3 linked regions of the Caenorhabditis elegans genome follow. The protein of the gene in region 1 purifies or fractionates together with the protein of each later gene. This does not show direct contact. Each region holds a gene or a part of one and is shown in the gene's direction. Other genes may lie near its edges.

Region 1 (2,574 bases):
TTGTTTTGCGGATATTGACTTTCCTTTCAGATGACTCGGTGGCACTGCTTTTACAAATCGATTTTTCTGGAAAATTTTGAATTATTTAGCCTATAAAATCCACAAAACTTACATCATCCGGATGGCACCTCCTGAATTTAAGACCATAGTTGATAGTAGGTGGAGGAATTGTTGGATAACGTGGGTCTTGATGTACTCTGAAAAATTTTAAATGGTTGTGTAATGAGTGTCAGAGCTCACCGAATTTTTCTGGAGTGATGTCTTGGACGATATGCAATGTTTCTGGGTTTTTGATGGTGCTTTATACTATTAAAGTTTCTTAATACAGTAACATCCTCGTTATTTTGAGTATTTCGAGAAGTTGAAGTATTTCTTTGCTTTCTCATTTTTCTTCTAACTATTCGCTTTGGCTGTTTCTTCACTTTTCTTTTCTTCTTATGTGTTTCCGTTGTGTAAATTGGACCAGGTAGAATAATCGGTGATTCAACTTCCCGAATAGTCATCACTTCGTAATTCATCATTCTATCGTCATCTTGTTCACGAGAATGATTGTCAAATAATCTTGGCTGCTCTGTAATAACATCTTCCTGAAGACGAGCTTCACTAAAGCGCCTTCTGACAGAATCAGGGCTTGTTGGCACAGAGTTGAATGGGGTCCAGTCGTCTGAAATTTTAAAATTGAATCACTTTTACGGGTAAGGCAGGATATCACGATAGTGTCTAAAAGGAGGAAGAATTTTTTCTTGTTTTCTGCCTGGAATTGTTTCAGGATTAAAATAGCAAGCCTCGAAGTTTGCCCGCTGGCCCGAAATAGCCTATTCATCAGTCAGCCGCAGAAGGGTTGTTTTTGGGGACCCCGCTTTACCGGTGTAGTATTATTTGACATTGGTAATTTTTTAATTACGGTTAAACATAAGTTAAACAATAAAATTACAAACCTGCACAAAGAGTTCCTGGGCCACATAATGTTTCATCAATATCACTTCCCCAGGCGCTATGTCTATCTTCTGAAATCTCAGTTTTCTTTTCTAAATTAAATAATATTTCAAACCTTCTACATGTTCTGGAGCGGTTCTGGAACTTTTTTGTCCCATAGAGAATACAAAAAGAGACGAAAATGGTTCAGTGGAACGAAACAAACGTGGGATGTAACCATGGAAGTGAGAATAATTGATGGAATAGCTAATGAGCTGAAGCTGAGTAGATCAGAGACTACTTTATTCTAAAAAGTACAGTAGTTGGAAAATTACATGTTTCATTTCTAATTTTCAAGGAAAAGCTAGTAATTACCGTAATCTTGTTTGTACCTGAAATTTTATGTACTGCAGGTGACCAAGTATGTTTGAGGCATGACTTCACACACCTAACTGATAAAGGCCTCTATCACAAACTAGAGTTGTGACGGAAAATTCAACTTCTCAGAATATAGCTCAAAATCTATCAAATTTTATTTTCAAAAATCCAAATAATTGTGCACGCAATGTACTTACTGCTTCATAAAGTTCAGAAGAATTGGATAAATTTGAATGAAGTTTTCAAAGCTTTTATCAGTGACTGTACATTGTGATAGGCTTGTGCTGTTATCAGCTGCCTCAAATAGGTTGTCGCTTGAAAATTTATATAAAAGGCCTACCAGCAGACATGAGAATCAAGCTTCAAAGGCTCTACTCAAAAATGGTCTGCAAGTGTGGTAAGTTGAAATTTCATTACGCTTTTAATTAATTTTGAATGAAACCCCCTTTCCCAGACTGCAAAAACCAAAATTGTTCCTGCAACACCGGAACTAAAGATTGCGATTGCTCCGACGCCAAGTGCTGTGAGCAATACTGCTGCCCAACTGCCAGTGAGAAGAAATGCTGCAAATCTGGATGTGCCGGAGGATGCAAGTGTGCCAACTGCGAATGTGCTCAGGCTGCTCATTAATTTGAAATTAATACTCTTCCCTTTGAAACAAATTCCTACTAATTGATATTGTTCGAGGTTTTTTCTTGAAAGCTGAAATAAATGTTAAATATTTATTGTAATTTCTTAGATTTTTAAACTGTCTTCCTTGTCAACGACCAGAAGCAAAAATTATGGGAATCGCGATAAAATTCAAGGAAAACTTTTGATCATCACTTTTGATCTTCACACGATTTGTTCCTTTTCAAGTAAAATATAAATCTTTTTCCGAACAGACTGAATCCATTATCAATTTTATAGACAGTGGAAAACATTTATCAAGTTAAGACAATTTTGAAAATTACGAAAAATCATTTGACCCAAATGGGTCAGGTGTTATTTCTTAATTCAAAAGATCTCAGAACCAGGAAAAAACATTTTTGTGTGGTTTGTTTTCAGCTGCTTTTCACTTAATAAATCAATTAATGCATCAACCAAATTGTTAAAAACTACAAATAGTGCGACTGAAAATTTAAAAATTGTGCCCAAACTTTTAATGAGGTTATCAATTTTCAATATCTCGAACATTTGGAAATTTTTGGAATTTTTTTGTTGGAAATTTGCTTAAAGTATTTACTAACTTTTGATCTCATATGTTTGAATGGGTTTAGATGGAAACTACCAAAGAACATG
Region 2 (7,774 bases), 5.7 Mb from region 1:
ACTGTCCAGGTACCAGGGATACTGTAGGGGTACTGTAGAAATACTGTAGGTATACAGTTATGGTACCATAGGGCTTTAGTGGAATTAGTGTAGGGTTACTGTAGGGTTACTGTGTGTGTACTGTGGGGGGAACAGTAGGGGTACTGTAACACTATTGTGTGAGTACCTGTTCGGTTACCAGAGGTACTGTAGGGTTATGTAGGGGATCTGTTGGGGTACTGTCGGGGTACTATAGGGTTACTGTAGAGTTGCTGTAGGGATACTGTAGTGTTACTGCAAGGGCACAGTGGGGAACTGTGGGGATACAGTAACACTACTGCGTGAATACTAGAGGGGAACTGTCCGGGGTACCAGGGATAGTGCAGGGGTACTGTGGGGTACTGTAGGGATAGTGCAGGGGTACTGTGGGGTACTGTAGGGATAGTGCAAGGGTACTGTAGGTCGCTGTGGGGGTACTGTAGGGGTACTGTAGGGATGCGGTGGGGGTACAGAAGGGTTACTGTAGCCTCAACTTACACCAAAGTGGCATCCCGATTCTCTCTCAAAATATCGATTAAAGCAAGTGACGCATGCTTCCCCTCCCCCTCAAAATCGGATCTTTCGACTTTCGGGAACTCCTCCGGCTTATCACCGATCCCATCGATCCCGAAAAAATCGGATACGGTATCATCCTTCGGCAGCGACAAAATCGATTTAGCCGCACCCTTGTACACTGGGATATTGCTCCGATCGTTGGCTCGGATGGTTCTTTTGATGTTCGCACAGGCTTGATCTACTGTCACACAGCCGTGGACTGCGGTGAATGCGAGAATTTCGGCTTTTGGGTGCTGCAAGGCTAGGGAGATGGCTCGCACGTCGTCGCTTACACCGTCAGAGTCTGAAAATCGATTAATTTTTGTTTTTAAAGCTTAAAATTTGGTAAACTTTATGTAAAACTTTAAAAATCGATAAAACTCGCTAAGCAAGCGCGCTCCAGTGAACTAGTCCGTTTTCCGACGCTAATTTCAAATTTTCAAGTGTTTTTTGACGAAAATAAGTGGAAAATTTGAAGACTTCTTGTTTTTTTTTAAATTAGAATTCTCGTTTATCATCTGAAAATCCGAAAAAATCGATTATTGAAGCGTCTAGACTCGTTTTTTTAAATCGCCAAGCAATGCAATCACGCTCCAATGACAAACTCAGTTTTCTGGCGGGAAGCTCGAATTTTCCAGTGTTTTAACGAAAATCTTCGGAATTAATACGTTTTCGGTGTATTTGAACGTAGAAAAGTAGAAATTTTAAAAAAGAAAAGAAAAAACTCGAGTTTTAACGAATTTTATAGAATTTTTTACTCAAAAATTGGTTTAAATTTGTTTTTATTCTCCGTTTAACTCACCAATGACCAGCTTAACCTTGTCCACAGTCATGTTGTCTTTTTTCTGAAGAGCGTAATGTTATTAAAGTGAAAAAATTAAACTTAAAATAACTAAATAAATATATGAATTATTTCTCGTCGCAAAAAACGCAACATTTGGGCAAAAATCAATCTGTCACCTGAATAATGCACACAATCTTATCATTTTTTATCAATTCTTATCGCATTTTCTTCGATTATTCTCGCTTTTTCGCCGTAATTCCGCATAAATGCGATAATTCGCGAAAAAACTACGGTTTTTCTTAAAGGCGCATAGCTCAAAACTTCAAATAGGTCTCGCCACGAATTCAGTGATGTGAGGGATTCGATGGAATTTTGAATTTTTAAAATCGATTTTTGCGATTTCTAGACGGTTTTTCGCCGTTTTTTCGGAGATTTTTGACGAAAAATGGAGAATTTCGACGGAAAATCGATGCCGCCAACTCCGGTGCCAATCGGATCAAGTCAGGTAGGGCAAAAATCCGGAAAAATCGATACAATTCACAAAAAATCCGAATTTTTTCCAGTTCTACCGCTGGATGCCGCACCCGATCGTCGATACACCACCGTCAGATGCTACGTGGCGCAAACCGGTGCCACGCGGCCGAATTCGTGATCTCGTCGCCGCGTTCGATCAGTGCTCCGGCATGCTGGAGCAGAAGCCCCCACCTCCGCCCACGCAAAGGGTTGAAAGTCTTGAAAATGGTGCGGAAATCAATCGATAATTGAGAAAATCGATAGGGGAATGCGAAAAAACTGGAAAAAAATGGGGAAAATTGAGAAAAATTGAGGAAAATGAGAAAAAAAAACCATTTCCCCCGGTATTTCTCCTATTCAAATGCAAATTTATAAATTCACATGTATTGTTAATTTATTTGCACTGTCAACACACCAACTATACAGTTTTTACATGGAAAATTGATTTTTTAGAAAAAACAATCGGAAAATCCCAAAAGTTTTGGGAAAAATCCAGAAAAAATGGGATTTTTCGCAAGTTTTCGGATGAAAATTATGGTTTAAATTGAATTTTGAGTGGAAATTTGCAAAATTGGACTTTTTCAGAGAAAATAGTTATAATTTGCAAAAAACTAATTTTTAGAAATTTTTTTTTCCAAAAATTCAAAAAAATTTTTTTTTTCAAAATTTTCATTTTAATTGGCAATTTACCATTGAGTTTCTGGTGAATTTCGAAAATTTTCTCTAAAAAATCCTGAAAAAACGGAAAAACCTCTGGAAAATTCTAAATTTCCAGCAAAACCACCAAAATTGTCGGATTTTGTGTTAAAATTCTGTAATTTTCGGTGGAAAAATCGCTAAAATTTAGAATTTTGTGATTTTAAGCTAATTTTAAGGAATATTGTGAAAAAAATTAAATTTTTTAAGAATTAAAAAAAATTTCAAAAAATTTTTTTTTTTTTCAAAAATTAAAAAAAAATTTTTTTTCGAAATATTCACTTTTTATTGGGAATTTTACGAATTTTGAGCGAATTTTAAAAAAATTCCAAAAAACGATAATTTTTTTGCAAAAAAAATTTTTTTTCGAAAAAAAAATTCAAGTTTTTCCAACTTTTCACATTTTTCTCAAAAATGATCTTCAAAATTCGAAATTTCCCGCCAAAAATAACCCATTTTTCTTCCAGAACACATTGCTCCACCGCCAACTTCAAAATCCTCCAAAATTCCGGAAATTCTCGCCAAAAAATCGGAAAAATACATCTCACCGTACGAAAAACGTCATTTTCATGGTCGTCGTGGCACCCAGGCTGTCGTTTTTAATTCGAATAATGCTCAAAATGCTCCAAATGTGGGCGGAGCCTATCCATATGGAGCCACACCGTTGAAATTGCGAAATTTGGCCCAAAAAATGGATAAAGAGGAGCTCTACGTGGCTGATGACGTTGGAATTTCCAAAAAATCTGAAAATTTCGAAAATTCCGATGATGACGTGGCAAAGTACGAAAATTTGCGGCAAAAATGCTATAAATTCGAAAAAAATTCAAATTTTGTAGCCATTTTTGACATTTTTCCTTTAAAAAAAAATCTAAAATGTCCAAAAAAAAGCCGCGAAATTCAAATTTTTAATTTTTTCCTATAAAAATCGAAAATTTGCAGAAATTTTTGAGGTTTTTGAGACAATTTTTTGAATTGCCCAACTTTTTTTTGTTAAAATATCGAATTTTAAGTAAAAAACTACCGAAAATTCGACTTTCTCGCCTAAGAAGGGGCGGAGCCGCGCAGGCCACGCCCACAAAATGGTTATTAGCGATTTTTCGGCAAAAATTGCGAAAAAATCAATTAAAAAAAATCAATTCGGATTTTCAGTCAAAAATTTTCTAATATTCGATATTCTTGCCTGAAAAGAGGGCGGAGCCTAACAGGCCACGCCCACCAAATGGACGGAGCTTATTTTCTAAATACTAAAAAAAAACAAAAATTACAGCAAAAAAAACAAATTGAAATTTCAAAATTTCAAAAAAAAAGAGGGCGGAGCCTAACAGGCCACGCCCACCAAATGGGTGGAGCTTGTTATCTAAATACTAAAAAAAAAAAAAAAATTTGCAGGAAAAAACACAAATTGACACTTCAAAATTTCAAAAAAAAAAAGGCGGAGCCTAACAGGCCACGCCCACAAAACGGTTATGAGCTATTTTCGCTCAAATTTTGTAATTTTCAGTCAAATGTTCCCTAAAAATCGATATTCTGGAGCCCACAAAATGGCGACGAGCATATTTTCGTCAAAAATCGGTAAAAAATCGATATTTTTTGCAGTTTCCAAGAGCTTCTGGTGCTGGATGAGGTGCTGGAAAATGCTGAAAATTCTGAAAATCTGGAATCCCAGCAGTACGACGAGGAGAGCACCCTAAACCGAACATTTCAAGATTCTGGAGTTCCAGAAAATCAGGAAAATCTTCTCCAGCTCCCTGAGTGCCCAAAAACGCCGAAATTCACGAGTTCGCCCACGCTTTTCACACCGTATGCCGCTGGAGAGCCCATCGTTGAATATCGATGCTCGTCGGGCTCCGCGGGGGGTCCACTCAAAATTGTTGTGAAGAAGCTTCAGGCACCGATTGCACTTGCCACTTCGACACCGAAACCCGCAATGTGTCGGCCGCCGAAACACTCGGAACCACCACCGGCTTTTCAGGTGGATTATATCTGAGATTTTTGGCGGGTTTTTCAGTGAAAAAATTGAGAAAATCCCCGTTTGGAAAAAAGATTTTTAGTGGTTTTTGTGAAAAATCGAATTTTTCTCAAAAATTTGGAAAAAAATCTATTGAAAAATCGATTTTTTTTTTCGAAAATTTCGTAAAAAATCCATTTTTTCGAAAAAAACCAATTCAAAATTTCAAAAAAAAAGGGTTTTCTCTCCAAATTGTAAAAAAATCGATTTTTCTTTGAAAATTTTCTTCGAAAAAAAAAAGTTTTATTATATTTCGTTTAAAAAAATCGATTTTTTATTGTAGAATTCCGTAAAAAAATGGAATTTTTCGAAAAAATCAGTGAATTGTTTTTTGTTTTTTAACGAAGAAATTTCTAAAAAAAAATCGTTTTTTTCGAGAAAAATTTCATTTAAAAATCGATAATTTTGAAAAATTTCGATTCAAAAAACGTTTTTTCAAAAAAATTTCTTTAAAAATCAATTTTTTGAACTAAAATTTTGTAAAATTTCGTAAAAAATCGATTTTTTTACATCAATTTTTTGCGCAGGATTCCTTCGTGAGCTCAATCAGTAACTGGTCGGCAGTAGATCATCACGCGACGGATTCGCGCCGTCAAATGAACCGCCTACTCAATTCAATCGATGAAACTCGACATCACATTTTGCTCGCCGAGCACTCACTACTTGAAGCCCAAAAATCGAAATGTCCAATGCAAGAACTCGCGTCGCAACGGGTTTTGCTAATTTGTAGAGAACGGTTGAAAGTTCAATTGGAAGAAGTTCGGAGGCTTCAGGCAATGACTGTTGTCAGGCATCCACCACCACCGATTAATCGACATTTTAAATCGACTATGGTCATTTCGAATATTTCGCTTCAGTTTAATAAGCATTTCCATAGTCGTACGTGGTTTTTGAGTCTAAATTCGAGATTTTTGGGCCAAAATTGACTAAAAATTTGAATTTCCCGCCAAAATTTGACTGAAAATTTGAATTTTTGAATTTCCCGCCAAAAATTGACTGAAAATTTGAATTTTTGAATTTCCCGCCAAAAATTGACTGAAAATTTGAATTTTTGAATTTCCCGCCAAAAATTGATCACATGTTCGGTAGAGCGCACTTCGAAATTCAGAATTAAATTAGCGCGCATTCTGCGTTTTTAGTTAAAAATTTGAAAAAATTTGTGGTTTTTTGACACAAAACTCCAAAACATTGAATTCCCGCCGAAAAAAAAAATTGATTTTCGGTGGAGCGCACTTGCTGCAAGTATGCTCTACCGAACATTGATCGGTTTTCAGCGGGAAATTCAAATTTCCAGTCAATTTTTGGTGGGAAATTCAAAAATTCAAATTTTCAGTCAATTTTTGGCGGGAAATTCCAAAATTCAAATTTCCAGTCAATTTTTGGCGGGAAATTCAAAAATTCAAATTTTCAGTCAATTTTTGGCGGGAAATTCCAAAATTCAAATTTCCAGTCAATTTTTGGCGGGAAATTCAAAATTTCTGTGTTTTCAGGCGGCTCTTACGCTTTCCTTGTGCTCCTCAAATGCCGTACAGAAGTCGAGGCAACCGGTGTCGTTACCCTTTTGGCTCAATTCCAAACTCCGCAAAATTTCATTCTTTTCGGTGAACACTTGCGTTTTTCCAATCTTCCCGTCGATTTTACCATTGGAATGGAGATTTATATGATGGTAATGCTTGACAACAGAAAATAAAAATTTTTGACTGTAGTGGGGGTCGAACCCCGGACTTCTGGGCCGTAGCCATACCTCTACCCAGTTGAGCCACTTGTACAAAAAATTTTTTTTTTTTCGAAAAGAAGTACCAAAGCTGAAAATCTGCGTAGAGTTCTAATTTTTGATTAAAACCGCTCAAAAAACATCGTAAAAAATCAGTTTTTGAAAATTTTAGCCAATAAAGTCAGTTTCAATCGGTTTTTACCAAGAAAAACATCGTAAAATGATTTAAAACTAATTAACCCACCACTGGAGAGTAGCAAAAAAAATTTTTGACCGCAGCGGGGATCGAACCCCGGACCTCTGGGCCAGAGTCTAACCTCTACCCCACTGAGCCACTGGTACACAAAAAAAAATTTTTTTCAAAAAAAAAGGCCCCCCGGCCTCAAATTTTTTACTGATTCTGAATTTTTAGGTGTCTTACCACACGAATAGATACAAATACCTCAAAAATCTGGAATTTTCAGCGAGTTCCCGAGCACCGACCACCTGAGAAGACGTGCGCCGCGTTTTTGGCACAAAAAGTGCGGAATTTGCTGGTGCCGAGCAATGGTAATTTGGAAATTTTATTTGTTTTAGGAAATAAGGATGAAATTCCAAAAAAAAAAAAAAAATTTTTTTTCAAAAATTTCAAATTCCAGCCGCTCACCGCCGCCCGACTACCTCCACGCCACAAAAATCGATACAAAATGCCACGTCACCTGCGTGTGACTTCCAACTTTGCGGAAATTTAACGTTGGACCGCGATTCGTCGGGCGATAACCGCCGCTTCTATTTGGATGACGTCATTTATCCGCTGGAGGGAACTGTGAAGCTCAATTCACACTGCACATCACTTCCTGATGCAATTGATATGGAATATCGAGGATTTCTTCATATTTTACACGATTCTGCAAGTCCTTTGGAGAGGTACTTGGAAATTGACTGAAAATTTGAATTCCCCGCCAAAAATTGACTAGAAATTTGAATTTCCCGCCGAAAAATGACTGAAAATTTACATTTTTGAATTTCCCGCCAAAAATTGACTGAAAATTTGAATTTTTGGAATTTCCCGCCAAAAATTGACTAAAAATTTGAATTTTTGAATTTCCCGCCAAAAATTGACTGAAAATTTGAATTTTTGGAATTTCCCGCCAAAAATTGACTAAAAATTTGAATTTTTGAATTTCCCGCCAAAATTTGACTGAAAATTTGAATTTTTGAATTTCCCGCCAAAAATTGACTGAAAATTTGAATTTTTGGAATTTCCCGCCAAACATTGACTGAAAATTTGAATTTTTGAATTTCCCGCCGAAAAGTGACTGAAAATTTGAATTTTTGAATTTCCCGCCGAAAAACCACCTAAAAATTCCAATTTTCAGAGCAAAAAAAGTCCCAATTTGGCACAAATACTGGTCACTTCTTCATCGCGGAGCCATTTTGTTCTGGAGCACTCCACAAGAGGAAGTTCACGAAAAAGTCCCAATTTTCCAGATTGATTTGACAAAAT
Region 3 (4,346 bases), on another chromosome or scaffold:
TTCACGAAATTCACTACTTTAGATCATTTTCATAAAGTAAAAACTAGCAGAACCCACTGAAATTCGTTTTTTTATCGACATTTTAAAGTTACTTTTTTGCGTTTTTTTATAATTTTAAGTCGAAATTTTTTTAAAGCAAGGAAAATACGTCTTTTTAAGCAGTTTTTTGACAGTTTTCAGCATAATATTTTCTTTAAAAACTTGCGATTAAGCTGAAAACTGTCTAAAAATGCTCAAATTGATCCATTTCCAAGCTTTAAAACAAAAAATTCCCCGTTAACTTATGAAAAAACTCAGAAATTAGCCAACAATTTTCGAAAAATTCGAATTTCGGAGGATTCCGCGCAAAATTTTGAGCATTTTCCAATGAGTTCTGCAGTTGTTAGATGGAAATTGTTCGATTTTCAACTTTTCCGAGACGTCCTTACCCGTTGTAAATCTCTACGAATACAGTTTTTTTGAAGATCATCGCATTGACCTCGACGTACACGAATTTCTGACACTTTTTGCTCTTTTTCATCGAGTTGACGACCTGAAAAATAGAATTTGAAAACCAGAAATTTGGAAAAATAATTTAAAAATTAAGTTTTACCGCTCGAACAGTGGCTGTCTTCCCTGTGCCTGGAACTCCACTAATATACATTGCAGAGCTCTCGCCACGTTTTGGATCAATAACTTCTCGAATGAATTTCTCAATTTCTCGAGACTCAATATCTCGGCATGGGAGCTTCTCGGGCACCTTTGAGAGATGAAGCCTGCTCGCCAGCTCTTTCAGAGTTGAAGCCGATCGGGAATCCAGTGGATCCACAAGATCTTCGAGTTCTTCACTGTTCTGGCGTGCCCTTCTACGGGTTCTCAGTGTTCCACCTGGCGTTTTGCTGATCACTAGTGGAGTTACTTTCTGGGTTATCATTTTTGAAGGGATCTTTATTGTGATTGGTGTTCTTTTGTTAGTTTTCGAATAGAATTTCTCGTCAATTTCATCGCTGAAATCATCTTCATCGTCATCATCTTCTTCTTGAAATACTCGAGCTTTATTTGTTTTCCTTGAAATCTCAACTTTTCGAGGTGATTTACTCTCTTTGAATAGAGTTTTTGAAGTGGAAACTTTCGACACTGAAGCTTTACTTAATTCCCGAGCAAGCCTCTTCGATGGAGTCTCTTCAAGCCTTGTCGGAGTCCTGCTTCTTGTAACTCTTCTATTTTCTTTATCACTGCAGCTATCTTCTTCTGAGAAATTCTCGCCGATTTCATCGGAAAAATCGATTTCCATTTGATTATCGTGATCTACGGCTTTCAGCTCGTCTTTTGTCGCGGCGTACTCATCTTCTCCATCAGAATCTGAAGATGATGAGGACGAAGAAGAATCCGATTTATATGTGCATTGTGGAGCTCCTCTGAGGCGAACGGAGCTTCGCTTTACGATTTTAGGAGCTGATTTCGGGAGATTAGTGATTCTTGTCGATCTCCGCTTGACTGGAGTGGCGGATACAGTCTTTGACGTTTCAGATTTGCGAGTATTCATTGTGAGAAGCTGAAGGAACGATATTTTTATAATAAAAATCGACAAAAACCAGAGAATAATGATGAAAATGCGCGAAATCGAGGAGAACGCTTTCGAATTCAAAAGTGGCGCTCTCTGCGTACACGACGGTGTTTGCACACATTGCATACCGTACCACCCGGGAATGTCTACGTCTCTTCGTCTCACACAGTCTCTCGTTCTAAATTTTTTGGATTTTTTAATTTTTAATAAAAATTTTCAAAAATAAATTCTTCTCAGCATTTTTTAGGTAAATCTACAATGCTTTCATCGAAATTGGCAATTGTCACTGGTAATTTTAACTAATTTTAATTTAAAAAACTAGCAAACTCTACAAAAAATCCCAGGCGGTGGATCAGGAATCGGACAAGCAATTTGCAAGAAATTCGCAGCTTCTGGAGCCCGTCTCATCGTTGCAGACCTCAAAAAATCGGCAGCAGAAGCCACAGCAGGCAATCTTCCTGGAAATGGGCATTCGGCCTTTGAGATTGATGTCAGCGATGTGAGAAAGAGAAAATTCAAGAATTGAATTGTTTAAAAATTGTTTTCAGCCAGAACACGTGGCTCGTCTACAAGAATTCATAAAATCTTCCGGAGAATCGCCATCTGTGCTCGTGAATTGTGCAGGCATCACCAAGGTTAATAGAATATCGGAATTTCGTAGTTTTCTGGGACTCTTGCCTAAAGGCGCACGAGTTTTTCCAGATGGGTCTCGCCAGGAAAATAATTAAAAGTTAGTTTTTATAAATATACAAAATCAAATATGGCTGAGATCGTGGCGAGACCCAAAGAAATGGCGTGCACCTTTAAACTGACGTTTCAAATAAATTACCGTGTCTCTTTTATATCTTAGAACACTGCAAAATTGACCTTTTTACATTTTAGGACGCTACCCTGTTGAAAATGAGCCAGAATCAGTGGCAGGATGTGATGAATGTCAATTTGAATAGTGTTTTTCTGATGTCTCAGATGATTGCTCGTGAATCTGTGGCCGCCGGATCTCCGCTCTCCATTGTAAACGTGTCGTCGATCGTCGGAAAAATCGGAAATTTCGGCCAAACTAACTACGCTGCCACTAAATCTGGAGTGATTGGTTTTACGAAATCGGCAGCCAGGGAGCTTGCCACAAAGGTAAAATCAATTAAAAATTGATTTTCAGATTGTTCTAACCACCCATTTTTTAATTGTTTTTCTCAATTTGCAAAAAAAAATCTGGGGCACAAGACGACATGTTTGACGAGCAAAATATCTCGTAGCGGAAACTACAGCAACTCTTCTAATGACTACTGTAGCGCTGATGTCGATTTACGGGCTCAGCGATGTTCCATGATCCTAAATTATTTTAATTATTCATTTCAAATATCGAGCTCGTAAATCGACACAAGCGCTACAGTAGTCATTTGAAGAATTTCTGTAGTTTTCGCTACGAGATATTTTGCGCGTCAAATATGTTGCGCAATACGCATTCTCAGAGTATTGTTTTCCCGTAATAAGACTGTCATTGTCGATTTTCGCAGCGCGTGTACTTGTTGAGGTCCCTTTTGTAGATGGTTCTTAAGCTTTTGGCTATAGGGTCCAAAAAATCGGACGGTTCTACAAACATGAATTTGAAAAAAAAACACGACTCGTCACCGAGGCTTGCCGAGGTAGTTGCAAGCATTCCCATGATGAAGGTATTGAGCTGAAAATATCATTGCGAGTAATATAAAAGATGTCTTAATCCTTACCAACAGGGGGTTGACGAAGTTCATTGCGGATGATACAGTATGAACTTTATGAAGGACATTAACGTTTTAAATAGAAGAATTTTAATTGAATTATCATACTGGACATAACATTTTGATGTTCAATTCACTATTCCTCATGGGAAACTTTTTGAAAAATAAACTGGGAAACAAAACAATGATCGGTTTCTGGTGTTTAAATCGGTTCGGCACCAACGAAGATCCAATCGGACAGTTGCCCAGTAAAATATTATAAAATTCTAAATAATCTAAAATTCAACATTTTCCAGAACATCCGCGTGAATGCTGTGCTCCCCGGCTTCATCAGAACACCAATGACAGAGGCTATGCCTCCGAAGGTCCTTGATGCAATGGTCTCGATGGTTCCACAACGGAGACTCGGTGAGACTGAGGAGATCGCGAACGCCGTGTTGTTCCTGGCATCGGATATGTCTTCATATGTCACTGGAACCACGTTGGAAGTTACTGGAGGACTTGGAATGTAGAATTTAAAGAATTTGGACTCCTCTTTTTAGCTTTCAAATAAAATTGCTTCTTCGTTTTTTTCTGTGTTTCTGATTCGTATAGTCATTACCACGATTTGTGTTTTTGCCCTTTTGCAAGGAAGAATGTCTCAAGCGTCCTCTCGGGGCGTTTGTATGTGTGTGTGTGTGTTTTTTGTTGGCTCCTCGCCGTGTGCTCAATCTCATTTAATGTAATGGTTCCGCGAGCACCTTCTCATCTCCCACAATACTCTCTCGTCGCCCATAAAAAACCCGGGAGTGCTCGCCGTGCCGGGTGGTCCTTCTAGAAACTATCTGCGTCTGAGAAGAAGAAAGTGCAAACACAAGCACACACACACATATACGTTTCCAGATTTATAGTCATTTGGAACTTTTGCTCCGTGCCAGTCAGACGGGTGATACGGAAGTCGGCAAAAAACAAGCAACTGTTTTTTTATTAGTTGCACTTTTAGATATTGGAATTGAACAAAAAAAATATTTTCTAGTATACGATTCATATCGAGTACAACTGGGAATGCACTTTAAGGATTGACTTTTGGAATTAAGCTATTTTAG

Evidence for each region. The genes of interacting proteins can lie anywhere in the genome.
Region 2: the proteins of mtl-2 (region 1) and ani-3 fractionate together in Caenorhabditis elegans (co-fractionation; one large-scale study listed by BioGRID). This does not show direct contact.
Region 3: the proteins of mtl-2 (region 1) and dhs-11 fractionate together in Caenorhabditis elegans (co-fractionation; one large-scale study listed by BioGRID). This does not show direct contact.

The regions. Positions count from the first base shown.
Region 1 is NC_003283.11:14,017,720-14,020,293, reverse strand, and holds mtl-2 (Metallothionein-2), read left to right. Parts: upstream 1-1,620; 5' UTR 1,621-1,674; coding exon 1,675-1,690; intron 1,691-1,747; coding exon 1,748-1,923; 3' UTR 1,924-2,024; downstream 2,025-2,574. Other genes in the region: T08G5.1 (Titin), read right to left, coding at 1-66, 113-197, 241-664, 939-1,007, 1,052-1,094. UniProt on the Caenorhabditis elegans protein: This protein binds cations of several transition elements.
Region 2 is NC_003283.11:19,695,981-19,703,754, forward strand, and holds the start of ani-3 (Anillin-like protein 3), read left to right. Parts: upstream 1-1,751; 5' UTR 1,752-1,802; coding exon 1,803-1,862; intron 1,863-1,920; coding exon 1,921-2,098; intron 2,099-3,033; coding exon 3,034-3,346; intron 3,347-4,162; coding exon 4,163-4,538; intron 4,539-5,101; coding exon 5,102-5,453; intron 5,454-6,064; coding exon 6,065-6,240; intron 6,241-6,752; coding exon 6,753-6,837; intron 6,838-6,926; coding exon 6,927-7,194; intron 7,195-7,646; coding exon 7,647-7,774. Other genes in the region: Y43F8C.13 (Nucleoside hydrolase), read right to left, coding at 517-877, 1,376-1,406.
Region 3 is NC_003281.10:10,640,313-10,644,658, reverse strand, and holds dhs-11 ((3R)-3-hydroxyacyl-CoA dehydrogenase), read left to right. Parts: upstream 1-1,793; 5' UTR 1,794-1,804; coding exon 1,805-1,835; intron 1,836-1,890; coding exon 1,891-2,045; intron 2,046-2,094; coding exon 2,095-2,181; intron 2,182-2,428; coding exon 2,429-2,674; intron 2,675-3,557; coding exon 3,558-3,773; 3' UTR 3,774-3,823; downstream 3,824-4,346. Other genes in the region: orc-1 (Origin recognition complex subunit 1), read right to left, coding at 429-532, 593-1,525.